Arabidopsis thaliana: one gene and its partners. The protein of the gene in region 3 purifies or fractionates together with the protein of the main gene of each other region. This does not show direct contact. Each region holds a gene or a part of one and is shown on either strand. Other genes may lie near its edges.

Region 1 (4,454 bases), on a different chromosome or scaffold from region 3:
TGTAAAACATAACCAAGGTTCTGACAAAAACAGTATAAATCTGAAGGGTTACATGGTGAGCCTGTCCTCTTATTGATCCCCCTATGATTCATTTTCTAAAAGGTTATAAAACTCTAAAACAATGTTGATGAATGTGTGGATGCAGGTAGGAAATGGGCTGATGGACGATTTCCATGACAGGCTTGGTCTTTTCCAATATATTTGGTCGTTGGGTTTTATATCTGACCAAACATACAGCTTACTGCAACTTCAATGCGGTTTCGAATCGTTTATTCACTCCTCCAAACAGTGTAACAAGATTCTGGAGATAGCGGACAAAGAAATAGGTAACATAGACCAATACAGTGTCTTCACCCCAGCTTGTGTTGCCAATGCTTCCCAGTCAAATATGTTGCTAAAGAAAAGACCTGTAAGTGGCCTTAAAACTTCTCTTTTCAATGTTACACTCTTTAGTGTCCTAATTTCTCTGTTTATTTTACTTAGATGACTAGCCGCGTGAGCGAACAGTATGATCCTTGTACGGAGAAACACACTACAGTTTATTTCAATCTTCCAGAGGTTCAAAAAGCCCTCCATGTCCCACCAGGACTTGCACCATCAAAATGGGATACTTGCAGGTAAAATTGCCTTGCAATATCTTAGAAACTTGGTTTTGGAGGAAATGAGCCTATTTAAGTATTGTAACAATTCTGATCCCGACAGCTTTGGTTATGCAGTGATGTCGTGAGTGAACACTGGAATGACTCTCCTTCCTCGGTTCTAAACATTTACCACGAGCTTATAGCTGCTGGGCTTCGTATCTGGGTTTTCAGGTCTCTTTCTCTAAATATATCCACTGAAAGCACTTTAACGATATCTTTTCTTCAAGTGTTTTGGCGTTTTGGTGGTAAAAAGAAAAGGTTTTGTTCTTTGGTAACAGTGGGGACGCAGATGCCGTTGTACCAGTCACATCAACCCGGTACAGTATCGATGCACTAAACCTTCGTCCTTTGAGTGCCTATGGTCCTTGGTACTTAGATGGACAGGTACAAAACAAAACTCAAGATGAGAAAATGAGAATCCTTTTCTTATGTTATAAGAAAAACTTATAAACAGTCATGATTTGAAACAGGTGGGAGGGTGGAGTCAGCAGTATGCTGGTCTGAACTTTGTGACAGTGAGAGGTGCAGGCCATGAAGTTCCTTTGCACAGACCGAAGCAAGCTCTTGCGCTCTTCAAGGCTTTTATATCTGGAACTCCATTGTCCACACATGAGAACAGCATCAGCCGCGACATGTCTGAACTCGTTAGTGACTCATAATGAGTTCTGATTTGATGTAATGTGTGATTTGGATTCTCAATCAAAAACTTTCCACATAGGCCGTTGAAATAAGAAGAGGGAAAGAGAATAAATCAGTGTTTTAAGTGATACGTTCAATGCTTCTTCTTCTTCTGGTTGTTTGTTTGTTTGGATAAACATTTGCTGCTTGGAATCTAATAAAAGAAGTTTCTACCATTTGTCAGCCATACGATCCTTGAATAACAACAACATATTCTTGTGTAATGAGAAAGTGAAGTCTGATCTGTGATGTATAGGACTGGGTATTAATCTGGTAACGGATATAATACTGGGGTAGAAAATAGAATTTAGACTAGTATTGGGGGTCTAAACGAAATTATACAGAAGCATTGGGCTTGACTTGGCCCATGAGACCTAAGCCCATATTTTAAAGAATTAGGGGTTTCTTCTTCCTTTGTCTGTTCAAATTGAAGAAACCTGTTTTTTTTTTTTTTTTTCTGGAAGTGAATTGTCTTGAGTTGAACATTGAACTTCAATTGGTCGGAATCTGCAATTTCTGAGGTAAAGGTTTCATTTTTAACCTTTATTTGTTTGGGTTAAGATGAGATCTACGACGTTTTGAATGAGGATTCGGACGGTTGGGTGTTTCAGGTTTGGGCTCAGTGTCTTCTCTCGCGCGTCCCTCTTCACCTTCTTATTTCTACCTGTGAGTCTCACTTTTCTTCTCTCCGGTCTTTAGCATTCTATTGAATAGAAGAATTGGCATATAGCTATTAGCTATTTTCCTCAGATCGTGTTTTAGGCGACTTTCTGTTCTCGCTTGCTTAACATTGTACTTCAGTGTCGAATTCATATCCTACACATGAGTCTACATAAACATTGTGCTTTATGCTTGCTTCCTTAGTTCCTCAGAAATCCTTGGAAAATCCGCAGATTTATCTTCTTCGCTATCTGGAATTGTTTTCTTCGTAGGTTTCTTCTCGTTCATGTGTTTTTCCCTATTGGGATAATGGTTTTCAGCTCTAAAGATTCTATAGCCGAAAGTAAAAATAAGACTTGTGTAATATTTGCTGCAGCTTTATTTGCGAAATCACGTCTAAAACCTTGTAGGTAGAGGAAAGGACAAGAATCCCAGGCAGAAGCAACCATGGTGATGGTGTCTAATTCTACCCATCAAAATAAGGAAATACATGTCAGAAGGAGAATCTCTGAGATGTATTCTTCGTTCTGATCTTTTTCTCTCGTTGCATATCATGCTTGCCTGTGCAAATGGTGTGATATTTAAACCCCTTGATCAATCTACTGCGTATTGATCAGTATAGACTCTTAGCATGTATAGCGCTAAATTTCACATCTGATCATTTTTATAGAAAATACTTTGTTCACTGCATACACTTAATGAAGCAATTCTCCCATCTATGGACCCAGTGAGATGCTCCATTGTTTCCTAGCATACCTTAGCATAAAATGGAGATCTTTAGTCACAGTTTCTAACAGATGAGATATAGATTTATATTAAGGTATCAATTTTTTCATTCTGTAGAAGCAGAGTATTTTCAGCCTCTTGAGTATCATGTTTTTTTTTCTTTCTTTCTGGTGATGCAGATACAATAGACGGGAAGAGGAGTTTCCATCACTTAAAGACTACAATGACTACTTGGAAGAAGTGGAGTGCATGGGTTAGTTTCACTTGTGCTCCTTATTTTCTCTATTCATGCAAGACAAGACCAATGTATATATTACCTTCTATTCCACCAGTATTCGACTTGATAGATGGAATCAATGTCGAGGCGATTGAGCAGAAGATTAAGAGATATTCTAAGGAGAATGCTGAACAGATAATGATTAATAGAGCTCGTAAGGTAGGGCCTACGTTAGCCTTACTTTTTCTTATCTTGGTTAGATGAATGAGTAGAGGAAAAGAAAGAAGATTAAAAGCATGTTTGGTTATATGATATCACTGTGCAAATTGCTTTTGGTGTATTTACAATTTGCTCCAACAGGCAGAAGAATTGACTGCAGCCTTGGCAGCTTGCAAGGCCAAACCCCCACAGACAGATGCTGACACGGTAAATTGGGTTTTAATTTTCATATCAACAAGCAGATGAAGTTTCCTGACGAAGCTGAAATCTCTTTACTTGTTTACGCATTTTGTAGTCGTCGAACCATGGGGTCACGGCTGGAACTACATATGGTCAGGCTTCACGACCAACGGGAATGGGCCCACAACCTGTACCTATAGTAGGTGGAGCAGAGCGTCAACATTACGCTATGGAAGACGAAGCGACGAGGAGGATGAAAGCAGAGAGAGCTGGAGGATTTTCTTTAGAGATAAGCAAGAGGAGGGCTTTGGAAGAAGCATTTGCAAGCATTTGGGTTTGATTTCTCAAGCGATATTAGTTTTGTCCCTTATGATAGTGACTAGGAGGTCTTGATAGCTTCCATTGTTGTCTCAGTTTACTGTCTTTTACTCTTGTGGCTGGTTTGTTTTGTATAGTTGACAAGACTCTATTACGGGCATCAAGGAAAACAAAATTTACGAAAGAAAAATCGCAAAAAATACATGTACTTGTTCAATTGTAGAGAGACGGAAACAGATGGTAGAACAGAAGCAAAAAATAAGGAGGATGGACATAGTTATTGAATTTAAAGGGATTTTGATGTCCATATCAAAGACATAGTTTCATCTTTAGCAGTTACACCGTTCCCAGTTGCCATAACATTTTCCTCTGTTTCCATACCCATCAGTATATCAAGAAATGATTCGGCACCGTCTAAACAAGACATAGAACAAAAATTCAACTTAGGAAACTTGAGGTATATGTAACCTCGGCAACACAGGCCACATAATTTGCAAATTAATCGACTCTGGCTACTGTTACGAACAACTTCCCCTTTTAGGTCATCGCAACTGAATGTGGAACCACACTTTATGTAAGCAGAGGAGTCAAAACACGCATAGATGGTGGATAGTGGTGCAACATATGTTGCAAGTGTAGAACCATGTTGTCGTATCTATTTTTTCTTCACATATTTCGCACCAGTAGATTTCATCTGTGCTAGTGCTATCTTCATAGCAAAGAGAGAGAGGATGCTCATCATATTTCCAGCATAACTGATATGGGATGGTTGCACATTTATAACACATTGTAAACTCACATTGAGTACATTCTAG
Region 2 (6,115 bases), on a different chromosome or scaffold from region 3:
CAATTCCATAGTGTTTGTGAGAGTAAAGTGGAAGGGATATGCATATCAAGTAGAAAATTATCCATGATTAGTCTAATTATTTGGTATGTGTTCAAGAATCAACACATTAAATCATCGAAGTATTGGATTCATGACCATTACAGCTTCTTAAAAGCTTGCTAGAATCGGTTCTGGAAATCTTTCTCTTTCACCTCTTCTTAATCTACTACTAATGTTGTCACCCTTTATTTAAATTTGCTGAAGCCTGTGCGCATAATGGATGATTTCCTAAGGCTAGCTCGGTCAAACACAGAACGGAATTTAGAAACTTGTGGAGTACTTGCTGGTTCTCTGGTGAGTAGATGGAACCTTTGCATTTATAATTTTTGATTCCAATATCATGATCAGCTCGCCATTACTTATATTCTGTCTATTTGCCATGTTTACAGAAAAACAGGGTTTTTCATATCACTACTCTCATAATCCCAAAGCAGGAGTCTACCTCAGATTCTGTATGTTCTTCATTTTTCTTAACCATTTACATCAATAACAATCTTTTTAATTCTCGCTGGTATGCTTCTCACACTTAGGTTCATCATCATTTGGGTAATGTACAGTGCCAAACACTAAACGAGAAGAAATATTCGAGTACAGGACAGACTCTCTCTATTTCCCTTGGGTTGGATTCATGTAAGTTCTCTCACCCGAACTAAAAAATCTTCCATTTCCAGATAATGACTTACCAAAACGTTACTCAGAACAATTGTGAATCCATATATCCACTAGTTGATAAGCTTTATCGATTCGTCTTGCTAATTTACATTTTGGTTTCAGACACACCCTACACAAACTTGCTTCATGTCATCAGTTGATCTACACACACACTACTCGTATCAGGTAACAAACTCCCCTTATCAATATCTCTATGTTAATCACTTATGATGCGATTATAGTAAAACCATCATCTATATCTATTGTCCCAGATAATGCTACCGGAGGCGGTGGCAATCGTAATGGCACCAACAGACGAATCAACACCTCATGGAATATTCCATCTCTCTGATCCATCAGGCGTATCTGTGATCCGAAACTGCCAGCAACGAGGCTTCCACCCACACGAAGAATCAGAAGACGGTAACCCAATCTACGAGCATTGCTCACACGTCTTCCTCAATGCCAAACTCAAATATGAAGTCCTCGATCTCCGCTAAAAGCCAACCTCCATCACCATGTTATTATTTTTCCTGGAGTCTTAACTTTAAAGAGACATTAAAAAGACCTCAGAGATCAGATGTCTCAGCCGTACATATATGTGTATACTTCTTAAAAAAACCTTCTCTTTAAAGTTCCAAACTTGGCTGAGCCGTCTTAAGTAATGATGATTGTGTTTATTTATAACGAGTACACTTTTAAATTCGTATGCACCATTTCACAAAGCCAGATGTTTGATTAAAAAAACATAAGTATTTTTTTCTGACGATTTTTTCATTTAAATTAAAATTCATTATAGTCTGTGGGAAAGACCTGATACCATGAAAGTTGAGGTGAAAATCTGTTATTAGCTTTCATCAGATAAGAACGGAGAGAGAATAACAGATTTTCACCTCCTAGATAATGCTACCAGAGGTACTTGCAATCGTTATGGCTCCAACAGACGAATCTACCCCAATATATGAGCATTGCTCATACGTCTTCCTCAACGTCAAACTCAAATGCGAAGTTCTCTACTCTAAACTTTCTTAAACGAATATAATATACTTTTAAAATTACTTTCACAAAACCAAGTTTTGCCAAAAAAAAAACTGTATTTTATTTTAAATTAAATTTAGTCGGTGCGAAAAGACTAATGAATAAACAAGTCAACTTAAGTAAATTAATGGTCTCTGTATCGAATCTTAAAATTTAGATTTACCAAAATGTTTTTGTAAACCAACGAAATTCAATCTTTCTCTCTGTGCCTTTTTTCCTCTTTTCTCGTTCCCCTCTACTTCATTTAGGGTTTATCATCCTCTACCAATCCGCCGATTCTATACATACACTTTTCATATATATACATACATCGTCTCCACTCTCGTTGGCTCATTTTTCATTCACCGCCACGAAGCAAGAGGAGATTCGTATTAGCCACCATGTCTTTGAGACCTAACGCTAAGACTGAGGTTCGCCGGAACCGCTACAAAGTGGCGGTGGATGCTGAGGAAGGAAGACGGAGGAGAGAGGACAACATGGTCGAGATCCGTAAGAGTAAGCGTGAAGAAAGCTTACAGAAGAAGCGTCGTGAAGGCCTTCAAGCTAATCAGCTACCTCAATTCGCTCCTTCTCCTGTTCCTGCTTCATCAACTGTTGAGAAGAAGGTAATATTACTAGCGATCTGGAACCGTTTCCTAGGATTTGATTGGTTTAGATCGATTCGATTTTGATTTTGGTTTTGGTTTTGGCTAGTTGGAGAGTTTGCCTGCTATGGTTGGTGGTGTTTGGTCAGATGATAGAAGTTTACAGCTTGAAGCGACTACTCAGTTCCGGAAATTGCTTTCTATTGAGCGTAGTCCTCCGATTGAAGAAGTGATTGATGCTGGTGTTGTGCCTCGGTTTGTGGAATTTCTCACTAGAGAGGATTATCCACAGCTTCAGGTTTGGTGGATCGTTATGTATCTGTCATATTTTGCTAGAATTGTCTTCTGATACTAATTACTTGTGTGTGTGTGTGTGATTTCAGTTTGAGGCTGCTTGGGCATTGACAAACATTGCTTCTGGGACTTCAGAGAATACAAAGGTGGTCATTGAACATGGTGCTGTTCCGATTTTTGTTCAACTATTGGCTTCTCAGAGTGATGATGTCCGTGAGCAGGTAAGATATGTGTTTATGGTTTTTTCTCATGACTCAATATACTGTCAATTTTGTTTGTTTTCGGGAACAAGCATGTTCTAAAGCTTGTTTGTTTCTTAATCTTTTCATGTGTAAGGCTGTGTGGGCATTAGGGAATGTTGCTGGTGATTCTCCACGGTGCAGAGATCTTGTCCTTGGTCAAGGAGCTTTGATACCATTACTCTCTCAGTTGAATGAGCATGCTAAACTCTCGATGCTGAGAAATGCTACTTGGACCCTCTCTAATTTCTGCAGGGGCAAGCCACAGCCTCCCTTTGACCAGGTTTGTCTCTCATTCCTATCTTAATCTCTGCCCAAAGATGAAGGAGTTTTTCTTTTTAATTCTTGTGATCTCTTAATAACAGGTCCGTCCAGCACTCCCAGCCCTTGAACGCCTGATTCATTCGACTGATGAGGAAGTGTTAACGGATGCATGTTGGGCTCTCTCTTACCTTTCCGATGGCACAAATGACAAAATCCAATCTGTCATTGAGGCAGGTGTTGTTCCTCGACTCGTCGAGCTTCTCCAGTGAGTTTCAAATCCCATGATTTCACCGTGCTTTTGTATAATGAATGTTATGTGTTAATGAATATTATCAATTTTATTTTGCTGTAGGCATCAATCACCATCTGTGCTTATTCCTGCCCTTCGTAGTATTGGTAACATTGTCACTGGAGATGATCTGCAGACACAGGTATGTTTGTTCTTTTATAGTGTCATTCATTCATATTATTCAGGATACATGGTCCAATACTGATGGGAAGAATGAAATACACTGGCTAGAAAGCTGAATCTGAGTTTGTTGATAATGACATTTAGTTGTCAAAAGTTACTTGTCAAATTCTTCCTAGATGAATCTCTAGAATGGGAACTGTCAATTCTTCCCAGATTTTATTTCCCCCCCTGCATGTTTTTTACCCTAGTTATGCAATACCTAACATTCCTTTTGAATAGTTAGACTAATTTAAGGCAGTATGTATAATACTCTTAAGAATCTCACACATGTACCATTCCTCACTTATTTTGCTTTCTTTTTTGGTTGGTTCTACAGTGTGTAATTAGTCATGGTGCACTTCTTAGCCTTTTGAGCCTTCTGACTCACAATCATAAGAAGAGCATCAAAAAGGAAGCTTGCTGGACAATCTCAAATATCACTGCTGGAAACAGGGACCAGATTCAGGTGAACTTTTGCTAAAGATTGTTGTTTCTGCTCAGCTTATCAGTTTCTCATAAACTAATCACTAATGTTGGAAGACATGTTTCAGAAGCCTTTTTGTTGTTTGAAGAAAGATGTTCTGTGTGTTTATGTTCTCTAATATTGTTGTGGTATTGCAGGCTGTGTGTGAAGCTGGTTTGATTTGCCCTCTTGTCAATCTGCTTCAAAATGCGGAGTTTGATATAAAGAAAGAAGCTGCGTGGGCAATATCAAATGCCACTTCAGGTGGTTCTCCTGACCAAATCAAGTAAGATTATCCGATATAAACTCCATGTTCTGTTGATCTCAACTCCTTTAGAATCTTTGTTGGTTATTTTTCAAACAGTCAATTAAGTTATTCCGTTGTGTGTTTTAGGTACATGGTGGAACAGGGAGTCGTGAAACCACTGTGTGATCTTTTGGTGTGCCCTGATCCAAGGATTATCACTGTGTGTCTGGAAGGATTGGAGAACATTTTGAAAGTTGGGGAAGCTGAAAAGGTCACAGGAAATACCGGGGATGTAAACTTTTATGCACAGCTGATCGATGATGCTGAGGGATTAGAAAAGATTGAGAATCTGCAGAGTCATGACAACAGCGAAATCTATGAGAAGGCAGTGAAGATTCTTGAAACGTACTGGTTGGAAGAGGAAGATGAAACTTTACCACCTGGTGATCCCTCTGCACAAGGCTTCCAGTTTGGAGGAGGTAATGATGCAGCCGTACCACCAGGTGGATTCAACTTCCAGTGAAGGTAAAAAAACCTCACTACTTGGGACTAATTTATCTAAGCATCTAAGGCTAGACTAGCAAACAGAGTAAATCTGCCTGTGTGTCTACCTTGTGTGAATCTGTGAGTCTGGTTTTGCTTCCACAGGAGCTGAACATGACGATTTGAAGAGTCGAAGGAGCTTAAAGAGTTTGGGGGCACTGGTTAAAAAGGGTATGATTAGAGAGTCTGGTCTTCTGTGTAAAAGTCAGATGGGGTGCCTTACTTAGTCTGGCCTGGTCCGGTCAGATCCAGTGGTTGGTGGGTTTGAGTCATGGAATAAGCTTGTTGGGGGGGAGTTGGGTAGGAGTCATCAAGGGATATTTATTTTTGGGAAAGGGTTTATAAGTTTTTAAAGTGTGATCTGATGAGAATGTGTCTCTCTGGGTTTTTGTTACATTTGTACTACACAACACTGCAAAGTCAAACATAAAAAAGTTGGTCAAACTTTATTTGGTCTTATTGGTGACATAAAAGCCCAATTGGTTCGTCTCTTTATTGTTTATAGTAAATGTTTTTTTTTATAATCTATTTTAGTGCGGTCCAAGTCATTTTGGGCTATTGTCTACATATGCACGCGTATCTAGTTTCAACATATTTCCATTAATCGATGTTATTAATGGTTATCGTCAACTTCAAGTAGGGAGGGTTTCAATAATAAAAAAATCCTATGTTTTGTTCAATCCCTGTCGTTTATAAGCGTAGGTATGCCTTGGACCCAAAAGAACTCAAATATTCATAAGTCGATTACACAAATTTAAATAAGATGAAATTGACCAAAAAGAGAGATGTTTTGTAATTTTCATACAAAAAAAGTTGCACTACACGAGCATGTCTTCGATATACCTAATATTATTACATAAATTTTTCGTATTTCATTGTGAAGAATTACACAAAATATCTAAAAGACTGGTAAAAAATGCATGCATATCTCTAAGCCCAATTAGGGAAATCTAACGTGGCAAACAACCACAACGAGTAAATCCAATGTATTTCGTGCGCCAGGTTTTGAATTAAAATTTCAAATTTGGTACCAAAGCAAGCAAGATACCAAAAAACCCCCTTCCACAAGATCTTTGTTACAAGTTGTTGTTGTAAAATGATTTTCCCTCTTCTTTTTTCAGTTTGTGGTTGTTTTATTTTTTGGCGGGTGGTTCTATAGTAATAAAACACCGCGCTCGAGGGTAAAAAAGTAATTAAGAAAGAGAAATCTAGGGTTTATTAGTCCCCGCCTCCTCCTTTATTATAAAAACCCTCTCCGTTTGTTTTATCCGTTATTCTTCTGCGGCGTCTCTCTCTCTTCCT
Region 3 (4,999 bases):
ATTGCTTTGTCAGAGTCATGCTCTAATGGTTTGTTTTCTAATTGATAATCTAGAGTCTTGTTGTCTATTAGTTGGATTTATCTATGCACAAGTTCTTGGTTAACATTGTTATAGGGTGAGGATAACTTAGATAGACCCGTGCTTTTGCTTGTGGTACAGATTTGGAATGGAAGCTTATCTATGTAGGCTCAGCAGAAGATGAGACTTATGATCAACTTCTAGAGAGTGTGCTTGTAGGGCCTGTTAATGTTGGCAACTACCGCTTTGTATTTCAGGTAACATATGCACTACTACCTCTTCCAAGCACCAACAAAGTCTTGGTCTAACTCTCTATTACTACTGTTACAGGCTGATCCTCCGGATCCATCAAAGATTCAGGAGGAAGACATCATCGGTGTTACTGTGCTATTGTTGACATGTTCTTACATGGGTCAAGAGTTCTTGAGAGTTGGATATTACGTGAACAATGATTATGAGGATGAGCAACTCAAGGAAGAGCCTCCAACTAAGGTTTTGATTGATAAAGTTCAGAGGAACATACTTTCCGACAAACCTAGAGTTACTAAATTTCCTATAGATTTTCATCCAGAAGAAGAGCAGACTGCTGCTACTGCCGCTCCTCCTGAACAATCTGATGAACAACAACCTAATGTCAATGGTGAAGCTCAGGTTTTACCTGATCAGTCAGTAGAACCAAAACCTGAGGAATCATGATCCTTATACCAAGTCTAGTTGAAGAAAAGTGGATGAGAATTGAGAACTATTGTCTCCACAGATGTTGCGCTTTGCTTTTCTGTCTTTCAAAAGCATTATATGCTGTTTGTTGTACTTAATTCTAGAGGCTTTAGGGAAGTGATTCTTGACATTTTTGTATGTTTATGTTTTGGGCAAAGGTTTTTTAAATCGAAGCAAAGCCAACAGTTGCCAAACAAGATTCTGAGTTCTGATGGTTGGAATTTGGTAATAGGTGTAGAATAACTTCCCTAGATTTTCTCAAGGTACAAAGCGACATTTGATCTTCATCATTTGTTGAAAAAAGTGCCGTTAAATGGTCATAGTTAGCATTGATGATGATGATTATCATCATCATCAACCATAATTCTTTCACCAAAAAAACATGAGTCCGTGATTTTTTTAGGACCGTTTCACAGTTGTTCTGCCAAAAATATGAGTCCGCATTTATTCACCAAAAAAAAAAAAAAAAAAAAAGTAGTACACATTACAATTTCTCGCCTAACGATTTTACTCTGTGGTAAACCGAAAGATAGTTAAAAACGGCTCCATTTCGATTACTTTGAAAAAAAAAAAATGTTTGTTTTGTTAAAAGAAAATATCTTTTAAAATATTAAAAAATATTTTATTCAAACTTTTATTAATACAGATCTAATTACTAAACTCAATAACATTATAAAAGCCGTGTTCGGCTAAGCCCAGTAAGCCCTATATGTTTTGAATAAATACGATATTTTATAATAAACAGATTGTTGTTTTTAAATACCTAATAATACATAATATATTCCTATACTTGACAATAACGAATAAGAATTATATTACCTATTATTTTGGATTTCGTAAAATTATTTTATATTTTTTTTAGGTAAATGGTAAATTTGTAAAAAATAGCTACTTTGATATTTATATTGTGTATTATTTTCTACTCGATAAGATTAATCATCAATAGTTCGAGGTGGAGGGTTAAATTATCTAGGGTCTGATGATCATGTAGAATCACTTCCTGCAAACAAATCACGAGTGTTAGCATATTTATGCTATCCACAGTATCATATGGCTGTTTCTGATTATTTCATAAATATAAGGTTCGTTTCATAAAACACAAAATCTTACGGGTATAAAATTGAAACCAAAGAATTCAATTTCTTAAAAGTGTTTCACTAGGAGCCCTCGTACTTCCTCGAAGTGTACCGGAGAATCTAAACCCAATGTCGAAATCCGGCGATAATCAACCAGTTGATAGATACCTCCGCCGTCAAATCCTCGGAGAAGGAACATACGGTGTCGTTTACAAAGCCACCGACACAAAGGTAAAATCAAAAACCCTTCCCGATTTCGTTTTCAATTTCATCAAGATTTTCAAACTCAACAATCTTCGATTTTGTGATTTCCTTAGACTGGGAAAACTGTAGCAGTGAAGAAGATAAGATTAGGAAACCAAAAGGAAGGAGTAAATTTCACAGCTTTAAGAGAAATCAAGCTACTAAAAGAGCTGAATCATCCACATATCGTTGAACTCATTGATGCTTTCCCTCACGATGGAAGTTTGCATCTAGTTTTTGAGTATATGCAAACAGATTTAGAAGCAGTGATTCGTGATCGTAATATCTTTTTATCTCCTGGTGATATTAAGTCTTATATGTTGATGACTTTGAAGGGTTTAGCTTATTGTCATAAGAAATGGGTTCTTCACAGGTAAGAAGTTATGCTTAGGTTTATAAAGATTTGATTTTGATTGTGTTGATGGTTTGTTTTTGGTGTGGTTGTTAGGGATATGAAGCCGAATAATTTGTTGATTGGAGAGAATGGTTTGTTGAAGTTGGCTGATTTTGGTTTGGCGAGGTTGTTTGGGAGTCCGAATCGGAGGTTTACTCATCAGGTATTGATGCTATGATTGATACGGTTTTGAGCTTGGTAGCTAGGTTAGTGTAGTTCTTGATGATCTTATTGGATTTATTGGTTAGGTATTTATATAGTTATTGATATTTATGGTTGCATTGGTAGCTAGATTAGTCTGGAGTTTGTAGTAAATATCTTGGTACTTCTTCTTGATGATCTATTTTGAATTTTATGCTCAAAATGAAGAGTCGGTACAGAGTATTGAGAAGATATCATACTTTATGTGTGTTTGGTTTTGGTGAGGTGAAAGATTGTATTGACATTTTTTTACCCTAGAAGATTCTGAGATTGATTAGTTATGAAGAAATCTCTTCTATTTTTTGTTTGAATTGACAGGTAGATTAGTCTTGTTCTTGATGATCTATTGGTTTTTTTTTGCTGGGACAAACTAAGAGTATATATAGTGCATTGAGAAGACATACTATGTTTTTAATTCGAATGCTTGCATACCTATGTTATTGGTTTCGGTTGGTGATTACAAGTTTAAGTTTCCGGATAGCATTTTGTTGATTACGGTCATATTAACATTTTGACTCAAGAAGATTCTGCAATTGATTAGTTCTGTAGAAGTCTCTTTTTGCTGGATATGGAAAAATTGATACAGAGTATTAAGAAGACATCATACGGTTTTAATTTTGATTCTTGCATACCTGTGTTTTTCGATTTTGGTGAGATGAGAGATTGATGGTTCAAAGTCACCAGATACAGTTTTGTTACTTACGGATGTATTAACATTGTTACTTTAGAAAGATTCTGAGATTTATTGGTTGTGTAACTTGTGTAGATATCTCATTTGGTTAGCTATTTGTATCTGCTTGTGGAAGATTCGTTAAGTTTAAATTGGTTATACTTATTCACACAGGTATTTGCTACATGGTACAGAGCGCCTGAGTTACTGTTTGGGAGTCGACAGTATGGAGCAGGAGTTGATGTTTGGGCTGCAGGCTGTATTTTTGCTGAGTTACTACTTCGTAGACCATTTCTTCCGGTAATGCTCTATACCCTTCGTACTTCATGTTTAAAAAGTCTGTAGTTCTCTAAACATTTCCTATACTTTCTTCAGGGTTCTACTGAGATTGATCAACTTGGAAAGATCTTTCAAGCGTTTGGTACTCCAGTACCTTCCCAATGGTCTGACATGATCTATCTCCCAGACTACATGGAATTCTCCTATACACCCGCTCCACCATTACGTACCATTTTCCCTATGGCAAGTGATGACGCTTTGGATCTTCTAGCAAAAATGTTCATCTACGACCCACGTCAAAGGATCACAATACAACAAGCTTTAGACCACAGGTATACTCTTGAAAAAGAAACCCACGGGACAAAAATTCTGTTTCATCACTCTGATTATCATTGGTTTTTTCATCAGGTATTTCTCGTCTTCTCCATCACCAACTGAGCCAGGGAAGCTTCAGATTCCAGCTTCCAAAGGAGACGCACTCGAACCAAAGGCCTCCGAGCAAAACCAACATGGAAATAGCCCAGCGGTACTGTCTCCTCCTGGTAAAATGAGGAGAGTGATGGGTCCTGAAGGATTCACTTGAGAAGATGATGTTTCATTTCTTTTGGAAAATATCAATGGATATGCCCAGAAGATTTCAAAATTAGATTTTTACCATTGATAATTCAATATTAGTTAACTATCAAAGAGAAAAAATTTAAAGCCATAAATGTCCTTCTTAGTTCTTACTTTGTTTAATTTACCAAATATGTCATGTATCAACTATTGTTATAATTTCACTATATATCAACTATCTTACCATATTAATATAAATATTATTCAGATATTTAATATGTTAGCACGTTATATTCAGTATAACATGTTATTATAAAGTTAAATTGATTATTTCATATTAATTTGTATGATATGGTAAATGGTTTAATACGATATATAAAAATTTATCGTGATACTATACTAGTTAACATATTAATCAAATAGTTATATATATTTAGCACGATACTATACTAGTTAACATGTTAATCAAATAGTTATCCACATAAATCATAAATATTTTATGCAATCCAATGATAAATACGACAGTGTCGTAAATTTCGGATGAATAGTGTCTTCAGGCAGTTGATGAACAGTATCATGTCTAAAATATCCGGTAATAAATAGTGTTTTGAGACAATGACATATTTAGTAAATTAAACAAAATGAAAAAGGAAATTTATGATTTTAATTTTTTTCTCTTTCATACTTACCTAATATTAAACTATCTATAATAGATATCTAATTTTCAAGTCTTCCAGGCATATACATTAATATAGCTCTTTCCTTTTTTCCTTTCCTTGACTATAATCACTAATGGAGAGGTATATACAGTAATGACTTTAATTTCTAGAATTGCGTTTCGTAATG

What was found.
Region 1: the proteins of CAK4 (region 3) and AT4G30820 purify together in Arabidopsis thaliana (affinity purification with mass spectrometry, with the first as the bait; 2 studies listed by BioGRID). This does not show direct contact.
Region 2: the proteins of CAK4 (region 3) and IMPA-2 purify together in Arabidopsis thaliana (affinity purification with mass spectrometry, with the first as the bait; 2 studies listed by BioGRID). This does not show direct contact.

What each region holds. Positions count from the first base shown.
Region 1 is NC_003075.7:15,004,718-15,009,171, forward strand, and holds AT4G30820 (cyclin-dependent kinase-activating kinase assembly factor-related / CDK-activating kinase assembly factor-like protein), read left to right. Parts: upstream 1-1,776; 5' UTR 1,777-1,840; exon of another isoform or gene 1,841-1,930; 5' UTR 1,931-1,985; exon of another isoform or gene 1,986-2,389; 5' UTR 2,390-2,426; coding exon of another isoform or gene 2,427-2,469; coding exon 2,470-2,494; exon of another isoform or gene 2,495-2,776; coding exon of another isoform or gene 2,777-2,799; exon of another isoform or gene 2,800-2,884; coding exon 2,885-3,141; intron 3,142-3,282; coding exon 3,283-3,348; intron 3,349-3,436; coding exon 3,437-3,661; 3' UTR 3,662-3,907; downstream 3,908-4,454. Other genes in the region: scpl29 (serine carboxypeptidase-like 29), read left to right, coding at 1-55, 146-409, 484-617, 717-812, 920-1,025, 1,112-1,300.
Region 2 is NC_003075.7:9,133,128-9,139,242, reverse strand, and holds IMPA-2 (importin alpha), read left to right. Parts: upstream 1-1,827; 5' UTR 1,828-2,108; coding exon 2,109-2,333; intron 2,334-2,421; coding exon 2,422-2,610; intron 2,611-2,695; coding exon 2,696-2,827; intron 2,828-2,942; coding exon 2,943-3,128; intron 3,129-3,210; coding exon 3,211-3,374; intron 3,375-3,461; coding exon 3,462-3,540; intron 3,541-3,897; coding exon 3,898-4,026; intron 4,027-4,181; coding exon 4,182-4,309; intron 4,310-4,417; coding exon 4,418-4,793; 3' UTR 4,794-4,795; exon of another isoform or gene 4,796-4,918; 3' UTR 4,919-5,493; downstream 5,494-6,115.
Region 3 is NC_003070.9:24,892,835-24,897,833, forward strand, and holds CAK4 (CDK-activating kinase 4), read left to right. Parts: upstream 1-1,688; 5' UTR 1,689-1,940; coding exon 1,941-2,042; intron 2,043-2,128; coding exon 2,129-2,427; intron 2,428-2,502; coding exon 2,503-2,611; intron 2,612-3,493; coding exon 3,494-3,619; intron 3,620-3,694; coding exon 3,695-3,930; intron 3,931-4,006; coding exon 4,007-4,181; 3' UTR 4,182-4,425; downstream 4,426-4,999. Other genes in the region: SGA2 (ASF1 like histone chaperone), read left to right, coding at 160-275, 349-714.